3 linked regions of the Oryctolagus cuniculus genome follow. The protein of the gene in region 1 purifies or fractionates together with the protein of each later gene. This does not show direct contact. Links are inferred from orthologs where the notes say so. Each region holds a gene or a part of one and is shown on either strand. Other genes may lie near its edges. The genes, in order: PDE6D, FBXO10 and INPP5E.

Evidence for each region.
Region 2: the proteins of PDE6D (region 1) and FBXO10 purify together in Homo sapiens (affinity purification with mass spectrometry; 3 studies listed by BioGRID and IntAct, with this or other methods). This does not show direct contact. The link is inferred for Oryctolagus cuniculus from reciprocal best matches to the Homo sapiens genes PDE6D and FBXO10.
Region 3: the proteins of PDE6D (region 1) and INPP5E purify together in Homo sapiens (affinity purification with mass spectrometry; 3 studies listed by BioGRID and IntAct, with this or other methods). This does not show direct contact. The link is inferred for Oryctolagus cuniculus from reciprocal best matches to the Homo sapiens genes PDE6D and INPP5E.

The regions. Positions count from the first base shown.
Region 1 is NC_091434.1:7,549,497-7,553,238, reverse strand, and holds the start of PDE6D (retinal rod rhodopsin-sensitive cGMP 3',5'-cyclic phosphodiesterase subunit delta), read right to left. Parts: upstream 2,305-3,742; 5' UTR 2,095-2,304; coding exon 2,045-2,094; exon of another isoform or gene 1,960-2,044; intron 1-1,959. UniProt on the Homo sapiens protein: Promotes the release of prenylated target proteins from cellular membranes. Modulates the activity of prenylated or palmitoylated Ras family members by regulating their subcellular location.
Region 2 is NC_091432.1:200,314,074-200,317,242, forward strand, and holds part of FBXO10 (F-box only protein 10), read right to left. Parts: intron 3,005-3,169; coding exon 2,691-3,004; intron 519-2,690; coding exon 337-518; intron 1-336. UniProt on the Homo sapiens protein: Substrate-recognition component of the SCF (SKP1-CUL1-F-box protein)-type E3 ubiquitin ligase complex. Mediates the ubiquitination and degradation of BCL2, an antiapoptotic protein, thereby playing a role in apoptosis by controlling the stability of BCL2.
Region 3 is NC_091432.1:236,626,699-236,630,440, reverse strand, and holds the start of INPP5E (phosphatidylinositol polyphosphate 5-phosphatase type IV), read right to left. Parts: upstream 2,339-3,742; 5' UTR 2,156-2,338; intron 1,919-2,155; 5' UTR 1,756-1,918; coding exon 1,130-1,755; intron 114-1,129; coding exon 1-113. Other genes in the region: protein transport protein Sec16A, read right to left, coding at 3,084-3,152. UniProt on the Homo sapiens protein: Phosphatidylinositol (PtdIns) phosphatase that specifically hydrolyzes the 5-phosphate of phosphatidylinositol-3,4,5-trisphosphate (PtdIns(3,4,5)P3), phosphatidylinositol 4,5-bisphosphate (PtdIns(4,5)P2) and phosphatidylinositol 3,5-bisphosphate (PtdIns(3,5)P2).

The sequences.
Region 1 (3,742 bases):
TACTTCATAGGCAAAGGATCAATACTAAAATGCAAGAGAAATGATCTGGAATTTCTCTCGCAACAATAGCTAGCACACGATGCTTACACCAGGTGCTTTTCTGAATACTTTGGAGATCAATTCATTTCATCTCACAACCAGGTATTATTATTCTTATTTTTACATGAGAAAACTGAGGTAGAGGTTACAGAAGTTGTGCAGGGATATGGGGTCAGGAATGTAAAGCTAGAATTCCAAGGCAGCAAATCCTATGGTTCTTGCTTTCCTTTTCTCTCTTAATCCTCAGATGCCAGTAAAGGACACGGAGGACCAGCACTCTCACTTCACTGCTTCCCAACTTTATGCGGCTGCTCTCCTGTCTCAGGGCTTACTTAGCTCCACTCAAACTTTCCCTGAAAGCCTGTTTGTCGACGCAGCAACATCACGGCTGAACTGGTTAATTCCCCATTCCTGCCAGTGGGCTGACACCTCCTGCTCTCTACTCTTTCATATTTGTCCTCCGCTTCTTTCTCAACAAGTTCAAGAGCCAAGACTGAACGAATGGTGAGAAGCTCAAGCATTCCTTTTCTGCCTTGCTCAAAAGCCACCTTCCGGGTTTTCAGAAATACATTAATTGCAATCCAAAATCTCAAATTCTCTGGTTTACTGTCTGCAACACATATGTTAAGTATAAAGTATGCAAGAGAAAAAATAAAATCCATGTCATAGCTCTCCGAACACTTGAGCTATGCCTATCCCTGTCGAGGCTCCATTATGAAGAGAAACCCAGAAGGGAACATGGAGCTTTGAGAGGTTGTTCCTAAACTCCACCACATGAAAGTACTGAAAGCTGAGCACGGATGAAGTCTGCAAGGCTAACACAGCCTTGGGTTTTTAAACAAGCCTAACAGGATTCCACTGGAGATTTTCATCTGTACATCCCAAACCTCCTGACCCTCTTCTCGCACTGTGTTCTACTACCAACTTGGTTTCTGGCTATGACAAAATAATTCAAATGTGTAGGGGTGAAATGGGCACTGTGACAACCCGACAGGTGGGGGTCAGAGAACAGTGCTTTGCTAAGCACCCAGGGGAGGGGCCCCAAAGCGATGCCGGTATTTTCACCCAAAGCGATATTTAAGAATGTTCCTCACTGAACGGATAGGGTGCTAAGAAGAGATTAAGGTCAGTAGGAGAATGTAAAATTGGAATATGCAAGATCACATTGGCCAGACTAACCCTCCACGAAAACACAAAGCTCTCTAACTACCGGCTCCACCCAGGCCCGAGGCAGGGACTTCACACCTGACCGGGTCCCCAGCGCAAGCCAACCCTTGCTGGACAGCTCCGCCACGACCCGGCGGCAGGCACCCCTAAGGCACCCCGGCCAAGGCACCTGGAGGCATCCCACCACCCGCGAGCTCCGCGTCCTCGCCGGGCTGCAGGGAAGACCCGAGGGGCCGAGAGGCGAGCGGCGCCCGCCCCCCCACCGCCCTCTGCTACTCCAGCCCTGGAAGCCACAAGTGAGCAGAAGAAGTTGTGGCAACCAGACGGGGTGAGGCGGGGTGAGGCGTGGAGGGGGGGGGGCGAGAGTATTTAATGCCAGGCATCGGCGCTGGTCCCACGCAAGGTCGTTCACTCCCAGTCACTTCTCTGCTCCCCCGGGCGGGCTTCCCGCCAAAGACGCCGCCGGGCTTCGAGGCCAGCCCGCCGCGCCCCCTCAGCCCTCCCCGGCGGGCCGCGGCCCCTCCCGGCCGCAGCTCCGAGCCCAGCCCGCTTCCCGACACCCCTCGCCGGCGCCCGGCGCCCCTCGCAGCCCAGGCCCCGGGGCTCCTTCGCCCCCGTGCCCGCGGCTCCCGCCAACGTCCCCCTCCGCCCTCAGGACGCCCCCGTGCCCGCCTCCCGCGCCCCGTGGCGCCGGGGCCTGGGACCTCGGCCCCTTCCTGTCCCCCCTCGCTGCCCCTCTCCTCGGGGGCCCACCTGGCGCCCCAGTCCCCGGCCGGTCTCCTCAGGGAGCGACCGCCTCCCAAGTCCTCCCGGCCCCTCCCCGCTCCCGGGCGGATACAGTTTGAAGCCTCTCAGGATCTCCCTGGCCCGCTCGTCCTTGGCTGACATGTTGCGGCGGCCGCCGCCCGCGGCTCTCTCACGCTGCCCTGCGGAGCCTCGCGGACCGTGCCCAGGAAGCGAGCACAGAGCCGCAGCCCGGCCTGGAGACCTCGGGCAAGCAGAGGCAGCGGCCAGACCCGGACCGGCCTCTCCCTCCCCTCAGCTCCCGCTCCTGATCCTTCTCCTTCCCTCTGGTCTCGGAGCGCCCGCCCCTAAGCCAATGGAAAGCCCGCCTCGGCGATTGGCATTCTCACCAGCCAATAGCAACGCTCAGCGGCTTCGCAGGGGGACGAAGAGCATCCATGGGAAGCGCCCTCCCCGAGAAGTCCCATAGGACAAAATTTTCACTGGGTGTTGTTGCCTAGAGTTAGCCCCAGTGGGGGCTTGGCTTGACATCTGCAGAGGCTCTAGGGGCCTGCTCCTGCTGCTGGGCTCACTAGTCTCCTGAGACGACCGCAGGTTGCATTGTGCGAAGGGGCAGAGGACTACATTTCCCAGAATTCCAGTAGAGCGCCAGGGGACCACAGATCCCAGCACGCAGCAGAGAGGCCCAGGGACTACAAATCCCAGCATTCGTCGCGTCCCGAGGCTCTGTAACTTAGGCTCCAGTGTGCCGCGCAGTGTGCGCAAATTCGTAAACCTGCCGGCAAGGTCGGTGGTTTCTGCATCCCGAGACTGAAAACCAGGCGGGAAGACCCTGTGGCCCGGTGAAAGACGATGACAGCCCACAGAGAATTAACTTCTGTTTACATGGAACTCAGAAATCGCCTGCAAATCATGGTAAGGTTGCAAACAACAAAAACACTGATTAAACCACGAAAGAATGTAACAAAACGACTTCTTCAAACCGTGCTTGTTTGTTGGACGGGGGCGCCGTTTGCGTGTTTTGCGGGGACCTCTGGTGTGTTCCTGCCTCGGACCAGGAGAGCTATCGATTGTGTGCTCTGTCAATACGGGAAGGTGCTTGAAAGAATTTGCTAATCCTGCCCCTGCTGTTTTTACGTGCGAGGGAATTGAGGCCCAGAGAGGCGAGAGACCGGCCTCAGGTCACTGCAAGTTGGGGCAGAGTTAGGATTCGGCCCCGAGTCTGTCGCCCGCAGCCTGGGAGGTGATATTTTTAGCAGTATGGCAGTGCGATTACTGCCCGCCTTGTTGAGTAGTTTGCCCATCCAAGGTTGGAACACCCAGAGGTTGGGTAAAGCATTTATTCGGTGGATTTCTGGCAGATGAGGAAGTGTGTGATATTTGTTTTGGTAGGACTTGGTCTTTTGATTTGTTCTTTCTTTGTCACTCAAGGTGACATTTGATGTGATTTCAGGAAGTGGGTAAAATCGCAGGGTGAGCCCGGGCTTGCTGGGAGATGCTCTGTGTGTTTTCCTAGGACTTTCTTCCTCTCGTCCCCCTCTGCACCCAGCTTTTCACCAGCTTGTCACCCTCTGCACTCAGCTTTTCCTTCTGGGTAATTCAACAAACGTGCTTTCTGCTTCTGTGATTTGTCGGGCACTTAGTGGGTAGAAGACATGGTCCCCGCCTCCACAAAGATGACCGTCTATTTGAGTTAGGGAGACTCCACTGAGAATCAGGATGGAGCGTGACAAAGGGCATCAAGGTGACAGCAGTATGCCACGGGGGGCTCTGGTGGAGAGATTGATTATAG
Region 2 (3,169 bases), on another chromosome or scaffold:
GACACAAGTACTGCAGCAGGAAGAGCACCTAGCATTTTTGTGAAACTACAGATAGTCAGATCTGACCTTATCCCAAGTTGGTGCCAAAAGGGGAGATAGTAACAACTAGATTTCACTAAGGCTCAGAGGTGTCTCAGTAACTTGCCCAAAGTCACACAGCCAGTACCTGGCAGAGATGAGACATGAAACCAAATACCCTGATGCTCAGGTCTGTTCCCTCCCAGGGAGTCAGGTACAAGTTCTCTGGCCAGGCCGCCGGGGCAAGGGCAGCCGGGTCACTAGGCCTGCGTCTGGCTCCCCAGCGACCTCATGGTTCGGGCAGCGCTGGGCACTTACTTCTTCCTGAAGACCAGGAACTTGTTGTTCTGCATGACACAGTCCCGGTTGTTTGCGATCTGCTGGAAGATGGTCTTGCTGGTCTTGCCCTGGAAGATGATGTTATCCTGCACCAGGGCCTTGGCGCGGCCCCGCACTGCGATGCCGTAGGCCCGGAATGAGTGGATCCGGTTCTTTATTACCTGGGAGAGGCAGCCACAGCTTGTCAGACCTCAGGGACTCAGGCAAGTGAGTCACTTACATGGTAAACTATAAAACCGAGGTGGTAAAACATTCTAGGTGGGGGCCAGGGCTGTGGCGTAGCAGACAAAGCTGCCACCTGCAATGCCGACATCCCATATAGGCGCTGCTTCCTATCCAGCTCCCTGCTGTAGCCTGGGAAAGCAGTAGAAGATGGCCCAAGTACTTGGGCTCCTGCACCCACATGGGAGATTGGAAGAAGCTCTTGGCTTCAGCCTAGCACAGCCCTAGCCATTGTGGCTAGGGAGTGAAACAGCAGGTGGAAGATCTCTTTGTCTCTCTCCTTTCTCTCTAATGCTTTCAAATAAATAAATGTTTTAAAAAAAAAAAAAGACAAAGACAAAAGAGAAAGAGTTATTTCCGGGTCTCCCACGGGAGTATGGGGCCCAAGGACATCTGTTGTCTTCTGCTGCTTTCCCGGGTGCATTAGCAGGGAGCTGGACTGGAAGTGGAGCCATCAGGACACTGGTGTCCGTATGGGATGCCGGCACTGCAGGAGGCTGCTTAACCCTCTGTGCCACAGCACCGGCTCTGACTTTCAAATAAATAAATAAATCTTAAAAAATAATAAGCTAGGTAGGTCAGCCGAGAGCCAAAGGAACTCAAGGAAGAGCAAGAAGACCAGCCTGGAGGAACCAGGGAAAGCTTCCTGGAGGAGGTGATGTGTTAGCTGTCAGAGTTACCAGGTGCAGAGCAAGGGCGAGTTATTCCAGGAAGAAGCCACGTGCAAGGGCTGGTAGAGAGGAAGCTGGTGCCGGAAGCCAGGGCTGCTGAGACCCAACTGAGGCCGCGGTGTGGCCCTCGCTCCCTGTTTCCACAGCACTCGGAAGCCAAGTCGAGGAGTTCTCTGCTCCTCGCCTGTCACTGCTTGTGCAGCTGCAGAGCTGACCAGAGCCTCTGGGGCCCGATTCCACCAGGGCAGGGACCGGGTCCGTCGGGGAAGCCGTGCAATGGCCCCAGCGCAGAGGTCTGCACACGGAGCTCGGCGCTCACGGTGTGAGGCGCAGGCAGACAGGCGAAGGAATGGGTGTACGGCACTGCGGGAAGAGGGGCTCTGCGAGGGGCAGCTACCCCGACGTCCTAAGAGGCGCCTCAGACAGCTGGAGGACTCGGAAAATTGGGGCAGGGGGTTTCCAGCGCACGTGGAAGAGCATGTGCAAAGGCCCTGAGGCAGGATGTCTATGAAGCACCCGCTGCATGCCGGATCGTGCACAGATCATTCTCCTGGGGAAGGGAGCTGAAATAGTTCTGACCCTGACCCGGGACCAGGAAGACGCCTCAGGAGGCTTCTAGCACCCCCGGCCTCCTGTGGGTGAACTCTCACTCAGCCTTCAGGGCCCAGCTTGCGCGTCCCTTCCTATGTGCGGCCCCACTGGCATATCCAGGGGCACGTCTTGGCAGGAGGGACGGCATCCCCTGCAGAGCTGGGAGCTCGTGCTTCTGCGCTGGGCAGAGGGGCACACGCCGCAGCCGTGCACGCGCCCTCACCTTGGTGTCGGGCACACGCCGCAGCTGTGCACACACCCTACCTTGGTGTCGGGCACATGTCACACAGCCGTGCACGCACCCTCACCTTGGTGTCGGGCACACGCCGCAGCTGTGCACACACCCTACCTTGGTGTCGGGCACATGTCACACAGCCGTGCACGCACCCTCACCTTGGTGTCGGGCACACGCCGCAGCTGTGCACACACCCTACCTTGGTGTCGGGCACATGTCACACAGCCATGCACACACCCTCACCTTGGTGTTGGGCACTCGTCACACAGCCGTGCACATGCCCTCACCTTGGTGTTGGGCACTCGTCACACAGCCGTGCACATGCCCTCACCTTGGTGTCGGGCACACGTCACACAGCCGTGCACGCGCCCTCACCTTGGTGTCACACAGCCATGCACACACCCTCACCCTGGTGTCGGGCACACGTCACACAGCCATGCACACGCCCTCACCTTGGTGTCGGGCACATGTCACACAGCCGTGCACATGCCCTCACCTTGGTGTCGGGCACACGTCACGCAGCCGTGCACGCGCCCTCACCTTGGTGTCACACAGCCATGCACACACCCTACCTTGGTGTCGGGCACATGCCGCAGCCGTGCACGCGCCCTCACCTTGGTGTCGGACCTGGGCAGCAGCTGCAGCCCGCTGCCCCGGTTGCCGATGATGTCGTTTTCAATGACGACTGTGCTGTCGCCTTTGGTGATGACGCCGTGGCCTCTGTTGTCATAGATGCCATTTCCCCGGAGCTCCACCTTGCACTGGGCCTCGACCTTGACCCCACTCTGGCGGTTGCAAGAGATGCTGTTGTTGGCCACGCGGGTGAGCTGGCTGCTCTGGGCCACGGTGATGCCCCGGTCGCCATTGGCATGGATTACGTTGGCGGTGACGTGCAGGGCCTCGCTGCTCTGGACGTAGAGTCCTGAGGCTACGGGCAGGGAGAGCACAAGGTGGTCCCAGAGTCAGCCCTGACAACACGGGTGGGCAAGTCTGCCCTGAATCACACGCCCCGGTGGGCGAGCCTGAGTCGGCTCTGCCTGGGCCTCTGCCAAGCTTCCCCCCTCGTGGAGACGAGAGCCGCCTATTCCACGCA
Region 3 (3,742 bases), on another chromosome or scaffold:
GCATGTTCCAGGTGGCCACGAAGAGGGCCAGGCTGCGGTCCGGGAAGTAGCGGGCCAGCTCGTCCGCCCCCAGCAGGGCCCCACTGGCCAGGAGGCTGCCCTCCAAGTAGCTCCTGCAGGGACGGCAGACGGAACAGGGCCGCGTCCCTCGCGTCACCAGGGCGCGGCTGCGGGCACACCTCCCCGGGCTCCGCCTCCCCGAGGGGTCACACACCCTCCGTCTAGAACAGGCCACGGCCGCGGGCGCCGTCCCACTGCCCCCACCAGGGGCTCGAGCTGGGCGTGCATGGCCCACTGCGGGGGTCGGCAGTGGACAGGAGGCACCCGGGTTCCAGAACAGCACCCACCCCTGCTCACGCCCCCCCTCCCCCCCAGCACTGGTTAGGCCGCCCCCTGGGACACCGGCACCCACGTGGGCGCCTGCGAGTCCCGGCTGCTCCACGTCCCATCCAGCTCCCTGCTGTGGCCCGGGAGGCAGCAGAAGACGGCCCAGTGCTGGGGCCCTGCCCCCACGGGAGGCCGGGCGGAGCTGCCGGCTCCTGGGGCCCAGCCTGGCCCAGCCCCAGCCGGTCAGCCATCCAGCCAGCTGGGGAGTGGTCCGCGGACGGAAGACCCCCCCCCCCAGCCTCCTTTGCCTCTCAAGCACGTGAACAAGCAGCCAAGCCTGGCCTGGCCCCACTCCCGCCCAGGACGTCCGCACCACACGCGTGTTTGGCTCCGTGGGCCCCTGGCTGCAGCCGACACAGGTGACGGGGATAGAAGGGGCGTGGCCGCGTGCCGACACCCAGGTGCAGCTCCCGGAACCCGGAAGCAGTGTCCGAATTTTGGGATTTTCCCAACCGTTAGGACACCGCCACGGCCACGCGAGCTCACCCTGCTCCCTGTGTCACCGCCCACACCCTCTCGCCCAAGGGGACTCCGAAGGCCACTCCCTCGGGCCGTCCCCGCCCCCTCCTGCCCCCACCTCCGCCGCTCCCCCAAGCCCACGGCGACCACCACACCCCCCAGGGAGGCAGGGCGCCTCCAGCCCACCACCCACGACTTCCGGAAGGCGGCACAATCCCCGGGGGACCACCGGGCTCACTCAGGGCCCTCCCCAGGCTGCTCCTGGCGCCGCCAGGCCTCCTACCTGCTCCGGACGTCCTGGGTGCGGATGGGCGCCAGGAGGCTGAAGGACCTGGCGGACAGCAGGGACCGGTCATCGCAGGCCAGGGGGCTCCGGGGCCGCCCGGGGCCCAGGCTGCTGTGGGCCCGGGCGAGCGGGGGCTGGGCGAGGTCCGTGGCAACTGTGGGCGCCGACCTCAGGCGGTCGGAGGCCACGTCCAGGTCCGCAGTGGACCGCGGGCGTGGGGGCAGCAGGCCAGGGAGCCGGGGGGAGCTGCCCCCCGAGCCGCCCACCACTCCTGAGAGGCAGTGTCCCCAGGAGGCACTGAGGCAGGGTGGGGAGCCCCCGGGGGCCGGCGGCCAGGCGGGGCCGCGGGACGGACTGGCCCCGTTCTGGGCGGCCAGGTCCTCATGGCTGCTGCGAAAACGCCGCCTCCGCCAGCCCTTGTCGTCCAGAGACAGGGCGCGCTGCAGCCGGGGCCGCGCGGGCGGCGGAGCCACGGGCTGCTCCTGGGCGTGCGGCTCGGCACCGGCGGCGGGCGGCCCGGGACTCCCCTGCGGGCCCGCGGCGAGGTCTTTGTCCGCGGCCGGGGGCGGCCCCCGCGGCATCCTGCCCTCCGCGGGTCGCGGCGCCTCGGCCTTCGACGGCATGGCCCAGCTCAGCGCCGGCCGCGGCCACCTGCGCCAGCGGGGACGCGCAACGTCGGGGCCCCGCGGCCGGGCGCAGAGCAGGGAGCCCGCCGCGGCGGCCCCTGCGGCCTGGCGCGGTCCTCCTGGGGCGGCGGTCGCCGCATGGCTGGCTGCCCGCAAGCCCCTGCAGGAAGACCGAGCTGTTAGGCGAGCCGCCGCCTCGTCCCGGGCGGCGGCCTGCCCCGCATCACTGCGCCCCTCGCCCCGCAACCGCCGCCCGGCGCCCCGGGAGGCCCAGCGCCGGCCGCAGGGGCGACGGCTCGGAGTGCTTCCGGCGGGCCCGCCCCGAGCAACGGTCCGGCCAGGGGCCGCCCCGCCTCGCCCCAAGGGTCACCCCGGCTCGAGATCGCGCCCCACGCACCTCCAGGCCGGCCTCGCGCTCGCGCCGGCGCCGCTCCCGCCGCCTCCGCGTCCACCCGGCCCGGCCGCGCGCCCACAGCGCCCCTGGCGGCCGGAGGACCGCTGCCGCCCACGTCCCCGCAGAGGGGGCTCCCGGCCGTGGGACACCCCCAAGCCCGCGGCCAGCAGACCAGGTGAAGGCAGAGAGCACAAAATATTTTATTTAACAATCTGCAGTGAAACCATTTTCATTTAGGAAAAATAGCAGCTCCCGTGGTGAGCAGGAAGCTTCTTCAACGTGGGCAGTCGTGGGCAGAGGTCCGGGCTCGGCTAGAGGGGCCGCAGCCGGGGTCTCGCCCCAGCAGCGGGCGCCACGCAGCCGCCGGCCAGGCACACGGGCGTCCGCTCTCCTGGGACAGGTGGGCTGGGGGCATCCGCCCAGGGCCCCCGCACACCCGCTCTACGGGGCCTCGGTGGTGCCAAGGACGGCCGCAACCAACAGTCGAGAAAGCCTTAAAGCTGGGGCGGGGCGGGGCGGGGCGGGGCGGGGCGGGGCGGGGGCTCAAGGCAGCCCGGAGACCCCCGCAGACCGCGCCGGCCAGGGCCCTGGAGCGCGCGAGGAGGCCCCAGCTCCTGGCCCCCCTCGGGCATGGCTCCCCGCTCCTGCCCCCACGACCCTAAAGAGGCTACAGAGAGCGAGGCGGGGCAGACTCCAGACGTCCTTGGGTCGGTCACCCGGCCAGGCTCCCACGGCCAGGGCAGCACTGCCCTGGTCCCAGAGCTCCGCCCACGGCACTGCCGGCCCCAGCCCAGCCCCCCGGGCTCCAGTCACTTCCGCGGCGAGCCGCAGGCACGGTGGCGTGGGGTGCCCGGCGTGCCCTCTCGGGACAGAGCCACAGGTGCTCAGCCGGGCTCTCGGCGCCGGTCATCTGGAACCCGCGTGGACGCGGCTAGTTCAAAGGCGGGTACTTCCTCTGGCCGATCCTCCCTGGCCTGGAGCTCCCTGAGACAGCAGAGGCCTGGAACGAAACCAACGGCAGGACCTCTGGCGTCCACCTCGGCTGGGGCCGCAACCGCGCCGAGCTGGGGCTCCCCGTGGGGGAGCGGAGGCCTGGGACGGCAAACCGGGGAGCACGGCGGTCACTTCAGGGGCCTGAGTGGCCTGGGGGGGGTCTCCCCGTGGTCAGCAGGGACACAGCCATCCCCCCACAGGAGCCGAGGGCAGGGAGGGGCCTGGGCGCCGCACACGTCCCCGAGAGGCCACATGGACGGAGTCCCAGCCTGGGCGAGGCCGCCACATGAGGACGGGGCCCATGGGGCCGCAGGCAGGGCTGTGCCGTGTTGGCAACAGCGGGCACCCGTGAGGCCCCCCGCAGGCTCCCTCAGGAGAGACCCTGAGCCCCGGGGTGACGGACAAGCGGGAACCCGGGGCCGGGGACCCCCGACACAGCGCAGAAGGCCAGGCTGAGCCAGGGCGCACTGCAGACAGCCCATCGGGGCGGCGCTGGGCGCAGCGGGAGAGCCCCCGCCTGCCGGGCCGGCATCCCACACGGGTGCCGGTTCGAGTCCCGGCTGCTCCACTTCCCATCTTCCTGCTGTGGCCAGGGAA